Linked DNA regions of Notamacropus eugenii. The protein of the gene in region 1 interacts with the protein of each later gene in a biochemical or structural test. Links are inferred from orthologs where the notes say so. Each region holds a gene or a part of one and is shown on either strand. Other genes may lie near its edges.

Region 1 (7,492 bases):
GCCCTGAACTTGAGTATCAGGAGATTCTGAATTCACAAACAAGCTCTGACCCTTAGTGACTGTGTGACCCTGGACAAGTAACTTTGTTTTTCCTACTTCATAGGATTCTGTGAATTGTGAAAGGAAGTGAGGAAAGCACTTTTGTAAACCTTAAGTTTAACTTCAGTATTTCAAGTATTATGTTCACTTGAAGTATAAGTGTTATTATTTCTGCCAAAGATGAGAAGCTCAGAGCTGAGGGTTTGGGGACAGAGGTTCTAAGTAGACTGTAGATTCCACCTTTCCAAAGTCCTCCCAGCAGGTGGCCTCCACCTCTGAGGCCAAGGGAAGAAGATGCCCAATCAACTGCACACACACGCGCGCGCGCGCGCACACACACACACACACACACACACACACACACACACACACACACACACACACACACACACACACACACACACGCCATGGCATCTCTCCAAGCCCCCAAACCTTCCTGCCATTGTTGATGCCTGGTGAAGGCTGAGCGTGGGGCCCATTCCCTAAACTACCCTCCAGATTCAGTTCCGAGATTTGGAGACACCCAATCTCTGTGTTTGGTGGTTTGTGAGCCACACGTGATCAATGCTTAAAATGGATTCAGTAAGCCAGGGACCTATCATTATATATTTTAAATAGAATGCTTGCAATGGCAATGTTTTCACTCAAACTTGGCTGACTCAAGAAGGGGCATTGCTGTCAGAAAGCAAACAAAATCCTTCTGTCCTAGGGAGTCCAGTTAAAGGGGTGCAAAGAAGGCAAACGAAAGGGCAGGTATAACTTTATAGTAGAGAGAACTCCCCTCATAGAAGCTTGACCAGAAAGGTATGTTAAATGACCTCAACTAGACTGGGGGAGAGGGGAAGAAGGGGGTAAGAGAGAGAGACAAAAAGAGACAGAGAAAAAGAGATAGAGACGGGGGGGGGGGGGGGGGGGGGAAGAGGGGAGAGAGAGAGGAGAGAGAGAGAGAGAGAGAGAGAGAGAGAGAGAGAGAGAGAGAGAGAGAGAGAGAGAGAGAGAGAGAGAGAGAGAGAGAGAGAGAGAGAGAAAGTCATTAGGAAAGCAGGTTAACAGAAGCTTGGCCCTTTAAATCTGGCTAAGGCAGCTTCCCCCAATCCACTGGGATCTGTCCATTTGCAGTTGCCTTAGCTGGGAGCATTCACATGACTCAAAGCCTGATGCTTTGAACTGTGCCGAATCTCACTAGCTCTTTGCCTCTCCCGGTTTTACATCTTCCCCCAAGAGGTACAACAGCCAGGAAAGAGAGAAAGACTTCAGAAGACATTCCCTGTGAGGACACACACACACTCACACACACACTCACTCACACACACACTCACATACACACACTCACACGCTGGGTTTCCCTACCTGGGAACGTTCCCAGTCCACGTTCGCCTTAGACCCGGCAAAGAAAAACATCCGCTTTCTGTTTTGGGAAGGAGGAGGAATTCAGGTGGGAAGAAAGGTGTCTGGTGAGAGGGTGTGGGGAACAGGGGGAACTCAAGACAGTTAAAGGGATATGAGTCCTCATTACAGCAAAGAGAAATTGAGCTACTTCAAAGCGATCTCGGGAAGAAATTCTGCTTTCCTCCGATCTGATAGAATAAAATTATGAGCCTTTTCTATAGCCAGTCCTTGCTATTTCCCTCAAAAACCCAAATCCCCTTTTCAGTTCACCCTAGTGACTCCACAAAGGAGAGTGGAGATCTCCTTTGCTCGTTAAACAGCCTCCTCCCCATCATCTTCCCATAGAGGTACCTTGGAGCACCCATACCCTCTGTCCCACCTTGTGTGGGAAAAGTAAATTCCATTGACCCCACTCACCCAGATTGACGAAGCTCATGACCATATCTGCATCAGTTAGAAAGTTACTGTCCTGCAAACTGGCCAGCGGAGGACCCTGGGTGCTGAAGATGGGCTTGTAAGGGTAAGAGAACCCCTGGCCCTCTTCTCCGCCGACCTCCTCCTCCACTGACATGGCATTGTAGAGATCCAGCATGAACATGGGGGCTGAGTTCTGTTTGCCATGGAGGTGGGGCCTGGGCCGGTGGGGCAAACCCAGGATGGAGAGGATTTCTCGTTGCATCTCTCGGCGCTCTTGGCTGCGGAGCCTCCTGTGGATGAAGCTGGAGTGCACCTCATTATCCAGGGTGAAGTCGGCCAGGATGGAGCGCAGCAGTAGAAAAAGTGGAGACCAAAGGACCAGGAAGCTGGGGGGTCCCGGCTTGAGCCACACCACATGCATCTCTCTTGCTTCACAGGGCTCTCCAGGAAGGGGAGAAAGAGAGCAACTGGGCTAGCCTGGGGATCCAAATAAATACTTGACCATTAAATACAGCTAAAGTTTGGAGGGAAGAGGGAAGAGAGGCTGCTTCAGAGCCCTGGTCACTTGCTACACAACTTCCCCAGAGAGCCACTGCAAAGCATTTCTCATGGCTAACTTGTTCAATATTGCTTTTGTTTCCCCTCAGATTGTAAAATCCACATAGAGAAGACAGGCGACAGATGAATCTCCCCAGCGGACTGAGTTTGGCTTTCAATTCTTGGGGGGGGGGGGGGGGGGGTCCTCAGCTCTGCTCTCCTCTCTTCACTTCTCACACACACCAAGTCTCAAAGTGGTGTTTGAATGTTGCTTTGCAGACAGAGGCAGCGGGAGTTGTATCTTGTGGGAGGAGCAGCCAGTAAAACTCAGAGCTCTCTCTCTCTCTCTCTCTCTCTCCTCTCTCCTCTCTCTCTCTCTCTCTCTCTCTCTCTCTCTCTCTCTCTCTCTCTCTCTCTCTCTCTCTCTCTCTCTCTCTCTCACACACACACACACACACACACACACACTCACACACACTCACACACACGCGCTCACTCGCACAGAGAGACAGACTCCAAATTGCTTAGAGAAGAAAACCATATTATGACCCAGAGCTCACCGGCTTTCTTTTCAAGATGTTTTGGAGGCTCCGGGCTCAAAGCAGGGTGGGCTCTTCACAAGCAGTTAAATTAACCTAAGTGGTTTAGAAGCTGGTTTCAGAGTGCGCCTGCAGCCTTCCAGAACTCAATAACAATAGTTGGAAAGAAAGGAAAAGGGACAGAAATATGACTGTGCCCCCACCACCCTCCCACCTGAGCCTACTATCTATCTCCGTCTTACCACCCTCCCCCCTCAAACTGCTGTCCATAGAAGGAGCTCCCATTCACCTCCCACTGCCACTAGCACCACTACCACCACCACCAACACCACCACCACACACACTTTCCACTCCCGCCCAAGGGAAGAAACATTCTGGGCAGGAAAGCTGCCAGCAACGACACCCTTCTGCCCCACCCACCCACCAGCTGCTGCCATTAGTGCCAGGGGAGGATCCCAGGGAAGCACTTCAAGAAGGATAGCTGCCTTTTGTTTTTTATTTTTTTTGTGTGGGTTTTTTTGGTTATAGTCTGCCCTGACCTACATAGATAGTTAGCCCAAGGTCAGGAGAGCTAGAGGATAAAGGACCTAACAAAGCAAATTAATTACCACCTCTCCTTCCTGCAAGGGATTGGGAGCTTCAAAGGTTCAACAGGTGGTCTGGGAGTTGAGGTGATCTCCCTTTGTGGTTCTTCTCTGTGTCCCCCCCCCCCCCCACTTCAGGAGCAGGGAGAACCCAGATGACACTCTTCTTTCTAGTTAGTACTCTAGCCATGGGCTGTTATCCCAAAGAAATAGATGCGCACATGGGAAGCAGAAGACAGGGAAGAGCAGGTTGAAGCTGACATTTCTCTGGTCTTTCCTTTCCCGGGTAGGGTGGCTCCACCCTGAGCCTCTCTTTGGGAAGGCCAAATATGACTACTACGACTGATCTCCAGCTGAAGCAGGGGCCTGGACAAGAGGAATAATCCATTACAAGATTTACTGAATGCCTACAGTGTACTCAGTGTATATACTGGCCACTGGTAGCCATAAGGAAGAGAATATATTAGGTCCCTGCAAAAGGAATCTAGCTGGGGAGGATAAAACACCAATACAGATAGCTAAATACACAATATTACTTAAGTGCTTGAAGATGCAGAACAAAAAGCTAAGTAAAGTCTAAGGGAAGGAAGGTCATTACCAACTGAAGGCAATTAATTGGTATTTAAACAAAACTTTAAAGGTGAGGTAGGTAGGCACCTACCTCTACTACCTTTTATGTACTCACACAGTACTTTTTCTGAGTGGCCTAAAATGCTAAATAAAGAGAAAAATATTATCCCCAAAGTAACAGGACCTCCCCTACTTGTATAGACCTTTGTGCTTTTCAAAGTACTTTCACGTGTATTAATTATGTCACATGACTCTCACAATAATCCAGTGAGGTAGGAAGGGTAGGTATTATTGGTCCCACGGAACAGAAAAGAGCTGAGAGGTTAAGTAACTTGCTCAGAGTGACAGAACAAGGATGAAACCCCAGCCTCCAAAAAGTGTACTTTTCACTAGAAGCAAAATAGTTCCACTATTTTTGTGACAAATACACTTAGTCTCTCCCAACTGTTTCCCAGGAAAGCAGCAGGTCACCTAGCTATTTTCTTAGGCATGCCATCCTTTCTAATGCAAGCTTCAGAGTGAATGAACTCATGGTTATTATCCAAGACCTTTGTATAGATAAGATCCCCTTCCTTAACACCACAACCCTCAATTTGACTTATCTTTCAGGTCCATCAGGACTGAGGTGGTAGTTGTCTTCTATGCATCATTCCTCAAACATTTCATAGCAATCACAGTAGGCCCTCAATAAATGCTTTTTGGATGAATGATTATTGGTTGTATTGCTTAAAGTAGCAAACCTAATAATAGCTCACATTTATATAGCACTAGAGTTTTCCTCACAATAACTCTGTAAGTAAGGTAGTATGGGTACTATTATCCTCAGTTTACAAATGAGGAAACTGAGGCTTAGAGGAATTAAGTGACTTGCCCAAAGTCACACAACCAGTGATTATCAGAGTTGGCCTGGAATTCAGGTTTCTTGACTCCCAATTCAATAGAAAGGAACAGACTGACAAGAATGAGCTGAGTGAAGTGAATCAGAATCTGAGTTTGAAGAGACCTTAAAAGAGTTCCAGGAGCTCCTACAAGTGCAGAGCATCTGGGTGAAAAGAAAATAAATGTGTTAAAATCTACTTCAAAAGATCTTTGATTTCATCTGTGTGGGTAATCCCTCTCCTGATACAGAGCACAAACTTTCCATACTTTAAATGCAGCTAGGTCCTAATCAGTGCAAATAACAAATGAATCTTCTGAAATAAATGGTCCTATGTATTTGAATTTACACAATTCAGAGTTAATAACTAAGTAAAATATGGTAATGGATTCCAGCCCAATGGAAGCATGCAATGTGAATTCAAATAATGAGACCACTTCCCTAGATTCATTATTTGCACTAATAAGGACCTCAATGCAGATTAAATTACCAGGGGAGAGAGGGGATGAGAAAATCATCACCTAATGACCAAACTTCTGGTAATGAGCTTCTCTGTACTTAAATCCTTCAGACATGGTGTGTTACCAGAAGCCTTTACAGTTTGGAAGGATCACAGAATTATAGAAATTAGAACTGAAAAGGGCAGGCCTTCATACGATTCAGCTCCCTTACTTTACAGATAAGGAAACTGAGGTCCTAAGAAGTGAAGTGAGTTTCAGTTCAACCAACATAAACTGATTATCTATTTAAATGTGTATAGTGTTATAGATATTGAAATATATATGCCACAGACCCTGTTCTCAAGGTAGGAAGGGGAAAGGAGACAAGCATGCAAATCAGGATAACAGGAGAAAATGAGGTGAATATAAAGAAGAAAACCAAGCAAAATTCTATGGGAGATTTAAGGAGGGAGAGGTCACATCACTTGGGGAAAGAAATAGTAGAGGAAGGATGCACAGAGGAGGAAGCATCTGAGTTGGGGCTACTAACAAGAGAGTTGAAAGTCACCTCTGTGCAGGTAAGAGGCAGGTCTTTCACACTAGAAGGATCAGCCATGTCAACAGAAACAAAAAAAACTTTTTTGCTCAGTCCTTCAGGGAATTCTTAAATTATTGTCCATGTAGGCTGGTAAATTCATTTAAATAAAAGGAATCATTAATTTCTCTAACTACTTCTTTTTATGCCATGCCAAAGAAAAATTTATTAATAACTGACTGTCTGCAGTAAGCTATAACACATTTCTAGAGCTTTAGGGTTCCCTTAAAATACTTCCCTCATAAAAATTAAAAAACAAACCAACCAACTTTGGGCTGCAAGGTTTCTGAGGGGAGGGACATTTGAGGCACACAGAGGTTAACTGACTGCTTGAAGGTCACAGAGCTCTTAAGTGTTAGAACTAGATTCAAACTCAGATCATCTGACTCCCAAACCAGGGCTCTTTCCACTACATGAAACTTACTGCCTTTCTCATGAAAAGAAAAAAGAAATTTTCAGGATGTGAGGTTGGGGAACATTTTCTTAGAGTCCATTTCAGTCTCTCTGTACTCCACACTTCCTCCAACCCCCATTCCAGGCAGCAACCCCAGTCACTTTCCTGGGGCTTATCCAGTTTCCCCTCAAGCTTTCTCTGTCTTGGTGGCTTCTTCTGGAACTGGGATGGTGACAGCACCCTGTGCCTCATCCCAGAGGGGTGCAATCTGATATGCATATTAGTCTACTCTGCACCTGAGGGTTAGGTTCTCCTGGATGAAAGACAGATTGTAATGTAAGGTGCTGTTACGTGGTGTCTCCTCAGTCCCCTACAAAGCAGAGTCTTCACAGCCTGCTCGCTGTTCTCCAAGTGCTGGACAAGGATTTTTCATCGCATACATCATCCGTCACAGCTTACTAGAGGGATCTTGACTAAGTCAGCATATGTCGCTAAGGCAATAAAAAGAAAGCTGCTGTTGTGTGTATTACTCAGGCTAGGTAGGGGGCTTCATTTTCCTCTATAATGATAGAAAATCATATAGAACATGTAAGGCTGTCTCCAAAGTGAGAGGCTCTTCCTTTGGATCACTTAGCCCATGTGTACCTCAGTCTCCCCACATGCAAAATGGGGATGAGGCTCTGCATTTATGTGGGATCTGGAGTCCTGTGGATGGAAGGAAATCTGCTCTGGAAAGTCAAATTTTTTAGCATATATGAAATTCAATATTATTTTCCATGGAAATCTTTCCTTTCATTGAAGAACAGCCTATATAAGCTACCTCACCCTGGTGTTTTCTTCACCCCAAACTAGTTTTGCTTTTTTTTAAAATAGTATTGGGTGGGGGAGGGAGGTTAAGAGTATAAATGTCTTTTGTCAGGTTAATGTACACGTGGCACAGACCACAATTCCAAATGGAAATAAAACACATACATTTCTCCAAAGAAATTCGATGATGGAGCTGTGATTTCAAGTTCTGGTCTTATGAACCGCTGCCTATGGCCACAGTGTTGTTTATCATCATCACTTTTGTCTTTGTGTGTCATTTATATTAAATTTTGATTTGGGTTTT
Region 2 (7,677 bases), on another chromosome or scaffold:
CAGTCCCTGTTCTCCAGGATACTAATGGTTTACTAAGGAAATGAGACATGAACTGAAATAGATCTGATAGCAATCAATTAGAGGCAGTTAGGTGATACAGTGGATAGTGTGCTGGGCTTGGAGTCAGGAAGACCTGAGTTCAAATCTAGCCTCAGACCGTGACTAGCTGTGTAACTTTGGGCAAGTCACTTAACCTCTGCCTATCCCACTTTCTTCAGCTGTAAAATGGGAATCATAATAGCACCAACCTCTTTCAGGGCTGCTGTAAAGATCAAATGAGATAAGGTTTCTAAAGTGTTAAAGTGTTTAACAGCACACACATAGTAGTTAACAAATCCATCAGTCCTTTCCTTTCTTATTAGAAATGTATATCCTGTGATGAAATACTACTGTACTATAAGAAATGATGAGCTCAGTGATCTTAGAAAAACATGAAAAGACTTGCACAAAATAATGGAGTGAAATGAACAGAACCACGAGAACATTGTATACACTAAAAGCAATATTGTTTTAAGAACAACTTTGAGCAAGTAAGTCATTTTGACTATATAACTACCTAAGTTAGCTAACGTATGAAGGAAGAAGCTGTCTGCATTCAGAAGAATAACTGGTAAATAGAAATATATATAGAATGATTTTACATATGCATGTCTATTTGTGTCTATGGTAGCCATCTCTAGGTAAAGGGGGGAAGGGAAGAAAAAAGGGAAAAAAAGAAATTTACATGATAACTTTAAAAGGAATTGCAAGCTGTACATATGATTTGCAGTTTCATGTACAATCATTTTGAAAAATTATACTGTTATGAAAATGCTTGCTTTATTCCATAAATTAAAAACAAAATAAATAAAAATTGTTTTTTTTAATGTATATACTTACTAGGTGTTAGAGAGACAAGAGATTAGGAAAGAAGAGATGTCCTGTAGCCTTTCTTAGGTAGGGAACAATTGTTCCTAGGTGCTGGAGAAACAGAAATAAAAAGTGGAAAACATTTTTAAAATTTCATTTATTTATTTATTTATTTGTGTTTTTGGAGGGAGGAAGGCAAGGCAGTTAAGTGACTTGCCCAAGGTCACACAGCTAGTAAGTGTCAAGTGTCTTGAGACTGGATTTGAACTCAGGTCCTCCTGACTCCAGGGTCGATGCTCTGTGGTGGCACTGTGCCACCTTGCTCCTCCAAAACATTTCTTTTTTTAAGTGAAAAAAATTATTCTTCAATTTGCACTTAGTTTATCACTTTTCTCTCTGAAACAGGTTTTTCATCACAAGTCCTTTGGAATAGTCTTGAATCATTGTATTCTTTCATCATTCTAATATTGCTGTTATTGTGTACAATAATCTCCTGATTTTGCTCATTTCACTCTGCATCAGTTCTTAAAGGTTTTCTCAAGTTTTTCTGAAACCATCTCCTTCATTATTTTTTAGAACACAGTAGTATTCCATCACAATCGTATACCACAACTTGCTTAGCCATTCTCCAATTAGTGGCATCTTCTAAGTTTCCAATTCTTTGCCACCACAAAAAGAACAGCTATAAATATTTTGTACATATAGGTCCTGTGAAAGACATTTCTACTGAGGAATACAACATGTAAACAGTAAGAAAAAGATAAATTAAGGAAAAATAGAGATTTTTTTTTTAATGCTAGCGATAATAGGGAATCTCTAAACTTTTGAACAAGAATGCTGCTCAGAGATGAAGATCCAGGTCTTAGAGTATATCAGTGGTTTTGTGGTAGAAGATGGTCCAGCAAAAGAGAAAGCGGAGAAAATGGACAAATAAGAGAAACCAGGAGAGACCAGGAGAAAGTGGAGGCAAAGAGTGTAATTTTTTTTTCTGAAAGGGAAGTGATTTAGGAAGATAAGCCCCCACCCACCACCCCCATTTGTCAGAAACTGGAACAGAGGAGATGAGGATGGTGAATGATAATACAAAAGAGATTTTAAGGTGTATAATAAGGATTTCACATTAGATGGTCCCAACTTTTTCACTTAAGTAAAGGTTATATCCTTCGAGATAAAGATTGGAGGGGAAGGTATATTAGGCTCCCTCATTTGTAAGACGGAGGGTTGTTAGAGTGAATGAACAGCTCAAGCTTTTATTGAATATCTATTACACTATAATACAAAGACAAAAAAGTCAAACAACCCTCTGGTCTCAAGGGGCATCTGTTTTACTGACTGTTCTGGGTTCATAAGACTCAACAAGCTAACCGAAAGAGAGTATCTAATCTGATACCTTTACTGTTTATACAAGGTATTCCAAAAAGTCTTAATGCAGTACTGAGCTTTTAATAGCTTTAAATGGCACTAAACTCTTGAAACGGACGTTAGTTAAGTGGCTTACCCACAGTTAAACAACTGATGTGCATCCTATGGTGAGTGGAGTGCTGGACTTCGAATTGGGAAGACCTGTGTTCATGTCCCGCCTTTCATTTCTTATGTTTTTAATCCCTCTGATCCTTAGTTATCATATGATAATGTCACAGGGTAAAATCTTACAATCCATAAATGCCAGTACTTGTCATAGTTACTGTTTTTATATTTGCTGTTAAGTATATGATTTGAAATTTAAACTCAAGTCTTTGATCCCAAATAATAGGACTTATTTATATAGGACCTCCAAATTGTTCTTCCTACTACATCAGGGATTCTTTACCTTTTTATATGTCATAGACACCTTTGGCAGTTCAATGAAGTGTATGGACCTGTTCTCAGAGTAATATTTTTAATTACACTGAATAAAGTGCATAGGATTGATTACAAAAGAAATTGATGAGATTGAATAAAATTATCTACCTATTTTTTTTTAAAGTTTATGGACCTTATTTCTAAAGTTCTGTAATAAATAATGAATGGGGATCTCAGGAAACAAACCAAAAATCTAATGCTTTGTTCATTAATTGAGGGTGGTGCTACAGTTTGTTTTGAAAATTCTGAGTTTTATGCTTGGGGACACCAGGAGATAGGTTAGACTTTTAAGTCCACTGCTGACCTTCTGGCCTTTCTCTATCCCTGGATTGCGCACGTTAGAAGTACTTTCTATCCCTGAAGCCTCTTCCTCCCATTAGCAACTTCCCCACAGAACATCCATTTTGAGAACTATCCCCAGATCACCCTGGTCTTCAATTTCTCCAGGCTACACTCCAGCTGGCTCTTTAGATTTTCTCTACAATGCCCCCTAAGTCATCTGGTTGTTGTTGCTGCTGCTTGGTCATTTCAGTTGTGTCTGACTTTTCATGACTGCATTTGGGGTTTTCTTGGCAAAGATATTAAAATGGTTTACCATTTCCTTCTCTGGCTCATTTTATAGATGAAGAACTAAAGCAAGCAGGGTTGAGTGACTTGTCCAGGATCACACAGCTAGTAAATGTCTGAGGCTGGATTTGAACTCAGGAAAACAAATCTTCCTGACTTCAGGCCAGGCACTCTATTCACTGTACAGCCTAGCTGCCCTTGGTACCCTCCTGGTACCTTTTTATTTTTCCCACCCCATCTCAGTTTTCTTTATGTATTGTCTTCTTCCATTAGAGAGTAAAGTTCCCGAGGTCTGGGACTGGCTTTCTGCTTGTGTCTTCCCAGCCTTAGCACCATGCCTGGCATATAGAAAGCCCTTAATAAATGCTTGTTAACTTGATATGATGTTGGACTTTTTAAGTGCTTTCCTACCCATGTGGAGGACTCTATAGCTTTGACTTTTTAACATACTGCAAAAGCTTTTTTACAGCACACTTTGAATAATAGTCATGAAGGACACCATCCTTAGCACACCCAGGCTGCCCTTCCTTGGTGTCCTTCATTCTCATTTGTACGGAACAGCTGTCTTGGATCTTGAGAAATTCTCTGCTATGGAATCTTCCCAGTACCTTTTTGAGTGAGGGAGGATGGTGTCCACCAGGGGCACAGGGCCAGGGCTTTTACTGATATGCCTGAGAGTTGTATTATAAGGTGCCTGTAATTCTAGGTGGTTCCAGGATGGGACATGAATTTCATTGTGTCTCATTGCATCTCCTTATGTTAAAAATGTGCAGCTACACCAACATTGACGTTCGTTTTGTTTATTCCTGAAAACATGGCATTTTGTTTTGCTTTTGGTCATTCAGCCTCATTTGGGGTGATTGTCAGCTGGGAGGTTGGCAGGAGGGGGAGAAGAGAAAGCTGCATTTTGGCAACCCTTCAAGAGTCGAGCAGCTTCCTGCAGCCAGGACCATAAACTGTATAATTTGTCCATGGAGGCCTATGCATTATAGAAATGAAAATTCCTTCTCTGACAGCATTCACTGCTTAGCACGCAGCAATTTGGCTGTCAGAAACAGCTGGCCCTGCAGGGTGGGACAATAGAAAGGCAAGACTGAGAGAGAAGGAAGTGCTTACTCAAATCTCCCACTGTGAGAGGATCAGGTTACTGAGTCCATCCTTACAACAGACAGCAGACTGCACGGGGCTCTAAGACACACAGCTTCAAGTCTGAGCAGGAGACTATGGTTCAGACATTTTAGTGGTGTTTTGGGATTTTTTTCTTTTCCTGAATGGAACAACAAAAATATTAAAAAAACAAACCTCCTTCATGGGTACTCCAAATGTGGCTTTCTCTTTGCATTAAGATATTTTGAGAGTCTTCTGCTTGGAGATAAGCATTAATGGGAAAGTAAGTCCTTTGAGCTCTTGCGTGTGTCTAATTCATTGGGGCAGTGGAAGGGTATGTGAGGGACGGGGAAAGTATTTCTTGATATATTTCATGCTTGGTCTAGAACTTTTTTGTTCTGTTTAGGAACAGTTTTTAATTGAAAGTGATTGACACAAATATGAGGGAAGACCGAAGCAAGAGGCTGGCCGAGGGCTCCTTCTGGGTGCGTTTTTGCTGCTTGCATGGGTGCACACTGTCTAACTGGCATTTATTTCTCTTGGAGGGAGAGAGAGGTGCCGCTGTCTTGAACTTGCTTCTCTCTCTGTGGGTCTGCAGCATGTCTGGCTTTGTGTTTTCCCCTATCGATTCCATGACTCACTGAGTGTGATCTAAGCAAAAAGCTTGCTTAAATGACAGAGGAGACAGCTGTCTGTTACAGGAGGACATATTTTCTGGGTTTAATGGCGCCAGGTTTTTCCTAGTAATGTACAGAGCTGTAAAGTTTCTACAGAAGGTTTTTTCTTCACTAAATGTTTTCCCCCAGTTGTGTTCCAAATTCTTAATAGTCTAAATATTAACTTCACAATGTGATGTGTCCTTCAGGAAAGCAATATGCTTCAGGTTTTTTTTTCTTTTTGTAGATTACTTTTCTAAGCTGATTTTTTTTTCATGTAAAAAGTATTTGAGAGAACAGAAGCCCAGCATTGCTGTGGAAAAGATATTTTCTTCTCCAGCTGAGTAGGGCATTGGAAATATACTAAAGTACATTTATTTAGGCAAGTTAGAGGGTTGGAATCTGGTAGTTGTTCAATTTATACTGTACTCTAGGTTTTTTTTTTTTTGAATTTTCCTTCTCCCCTTTAAATCTGTTTCCCCTTTATATGATAGAGGCTGAAGTTCCAGATGTTGTTTTGGTTTAAAGAGTGTGTGGAAAAAAAATAAGCTTTCTTAATGATAATAACAGAGTCAGACTGGCTGGTTCTGTACTGACAGGAAAATGGAGAGATAAAAACTCCATTAATGGTGCATGCACTGCCTAAGTAGCCAATAAAACAATGCTGTCTTCACTGGAAACTAGTCCCAGATTGGCAATGATCAGTGCCAACTGCAAAAGACAACAGCTGCAGAGCTTGACAAAAGTATTAGAGTAAAAAAACGATATATTAAATGATTTTTGAGAGGGGGAGGGCGGTTCTTTTGTTCTCATCTTCCTTCTCCTTCCCACCCTCTTTTCTTAAGTCCTGCTTAATACTTGCTCTTTTGGAGAGTTAACCATGTTTGATTGAAACTTAGCTATCAAAAGAAGAAAGTGATTCTCTGAATGAGTCAAGTTCAAGTATATTTGCTGAGGTTTGGATAGAGGGCTGTTTTTGACTAGGGACCTAAGTGCGAGTGTATCTTAAATTTTTAAAAGTGGCCTCACTTTTCACAAAAGTTTTATTTTATTCTTTAAGTTGGTAGAAGAAAACATTTTTTCCCTAGCTTTACTTCCTAGAAATATCTTCCATTTTCTGAGTGATACATTCTTTTTACTTCTACACCACAGGTATTATTTTATTATTTTCTAAAATGTAGCTCATTTCATAAGACATTATTATGTATTGTACAAAGTTTGTATTCATTCATTCAGTAAATACTTTTTGAAAATCTGTATGTGACACTGAAGTGTATACAAAATCCTTGGCTGAGGAGGAGGTTAAAATTTGGCAAGTAGACTACAACTTAATAATGTGCACTTTTTCTTTTCATTTTTAAATCAAATTTAATTTTTTCAAACAATGAAAATCTGCCTTATCTCTTCTCTCCCATTGAGAAAAAAGAAAAAGAAAACTGTTGTTACAAACATGTATAATCAAATAAAACAAATTCCCACACTGATCACATCCAAAAAACAAAAAAATCTTCAATCTGTACAATGAGTCTATCACCTCTTTTTCAGGATTTGGGTAGCTTGACGATCACAGGTCTTCTGGAATTAAATAGTCGTTGTGTAGAACTGTATTCTAAATCTTTCAAAGTTGTTTATTGTTTAAGTATTGTTGAATAATATGCTTTTCTATAGAATTTGGAACTTTGAAGTTTCTAAAAAGACTATTTGCATAAAATTAACTATAAAACAAAGTAGTAAGTCCTGAACTGCATAAATGTTGAAAGCCACAGTGAATTGTATAGGCATTCAGAAGAGTTCAGATACTCTCCTTTATAAGTATTTTGCCATCTGAGGTGTATCAGTGGATGTATGCAGGATGTGCAGATTAGAAACTTTAAATTACATGAGTGGACAAGATATAACATATAGGTTAATGTTATGTAGATATATTTGGGATGGAGATGTAGAAGCCTGTTGTTAATGTTTATCCTTTGCTATTGAGAGGTCCAATGATATCACAAGGGTGATGTCTTGACTTCAGTAAGAATTGAAGTGAGGCAGAATTACACAAAGTCTTCAGCCTCACCTCACCCTCTGGTTGAGCAGTCCAGTGGCAAGACAAAAGTTTGGATGACTAGTGATAGCTTAGGGTGCAGCGGATGACCTTGAGTTTTCTAAATTAAGGTCTTGCCCAGCCTTCAGTTTGTCTGACAGTGTGTGTGTGTGTGTGTGTGTGTGTGTGTGTGTGTGTGTGTGTGTGTGTGTGTGTGTGTAGGAAAGCTGCATGAAGGAGGTACAATTTGGGATGTTTAAATTGTAACTGATGAATCATCTGGTGTTATGGGGAGGAAGAAATACCCTAGATTTTGGGGGGCTCCTCTGGCTAGAGAAGATAGTAGTGATCTAAGTGGAAGAAGCATTGAGCAAGACAGAAAGAATGAACTGTGATATGAGTGACTTGGAAGTGAAGAATTTTGAAGGTGAATGAAACTTTTGGGTTTGATCCGTAAAACTAGACTAGAGTTTTAGGGAGGGGTTAATTTAGAGCTGGAAATAAGGACCATAGTACTCATCTAACCCTATTTCCTTTATTTTATAGATGAAGGAAAGGAAACCCAGAGAGGGTAAGTAGCCTCTCCAGGGTCACACATTATCTGGCCTTAGAATTCCAACTCAAGTC

The links. The genes of interacting proteins can lie anywhere in the genome.
Region 2: the proteins of BMP7 (region 1) and ACVR1 form a complex in vitro, tested with the Homo sapiens proteins (2 studies listed by BioGRID). The link is inferred for Notamacropus eugenii from reciprocal best matches to the Homo sapiens genes BMP7 and ACVR1.

The regions. Positions count from the first base shown.
Region 1 is NC_092872.1:508,734,088-508,741,579, reverse strand, and holds the start of BMP7 (bone morphogenetic protein 7), read right to left. Parts: upstream 3,023-7,492; 5' UTR 2,943-3,022; intron 2,489-2,942; exon of another isoform or gene 2,323-2,488; 5' UTR 2,267-2,322; coding exon 1,846-2,266; intron 1-1,845. UniProt on the Homo sapiens protein: Growth factor of the TGF-beta superfamily that plays important role in various biological processes, including embryogenesis, hematopoiesis, neurogenesis and skeletal morphogenesis.
Region 2 is NC_092876.1:216,757,500-216,765,176, reverse strand, and holds the start of ACVR1 (activin receptor type-1), read left to right. Parts: upstream 1-4,625; 5' UTR 4,626-4,640; coding exon 4,641-4,648; intron 4,649-7,677. UniProt on the Homo sapiens protein: Bone morphogenetic protein (BMP) type I receptor that is involved in a wide variety of biological processes, including bone, heart, cartilage, nervous, and reproductive system development and regulation.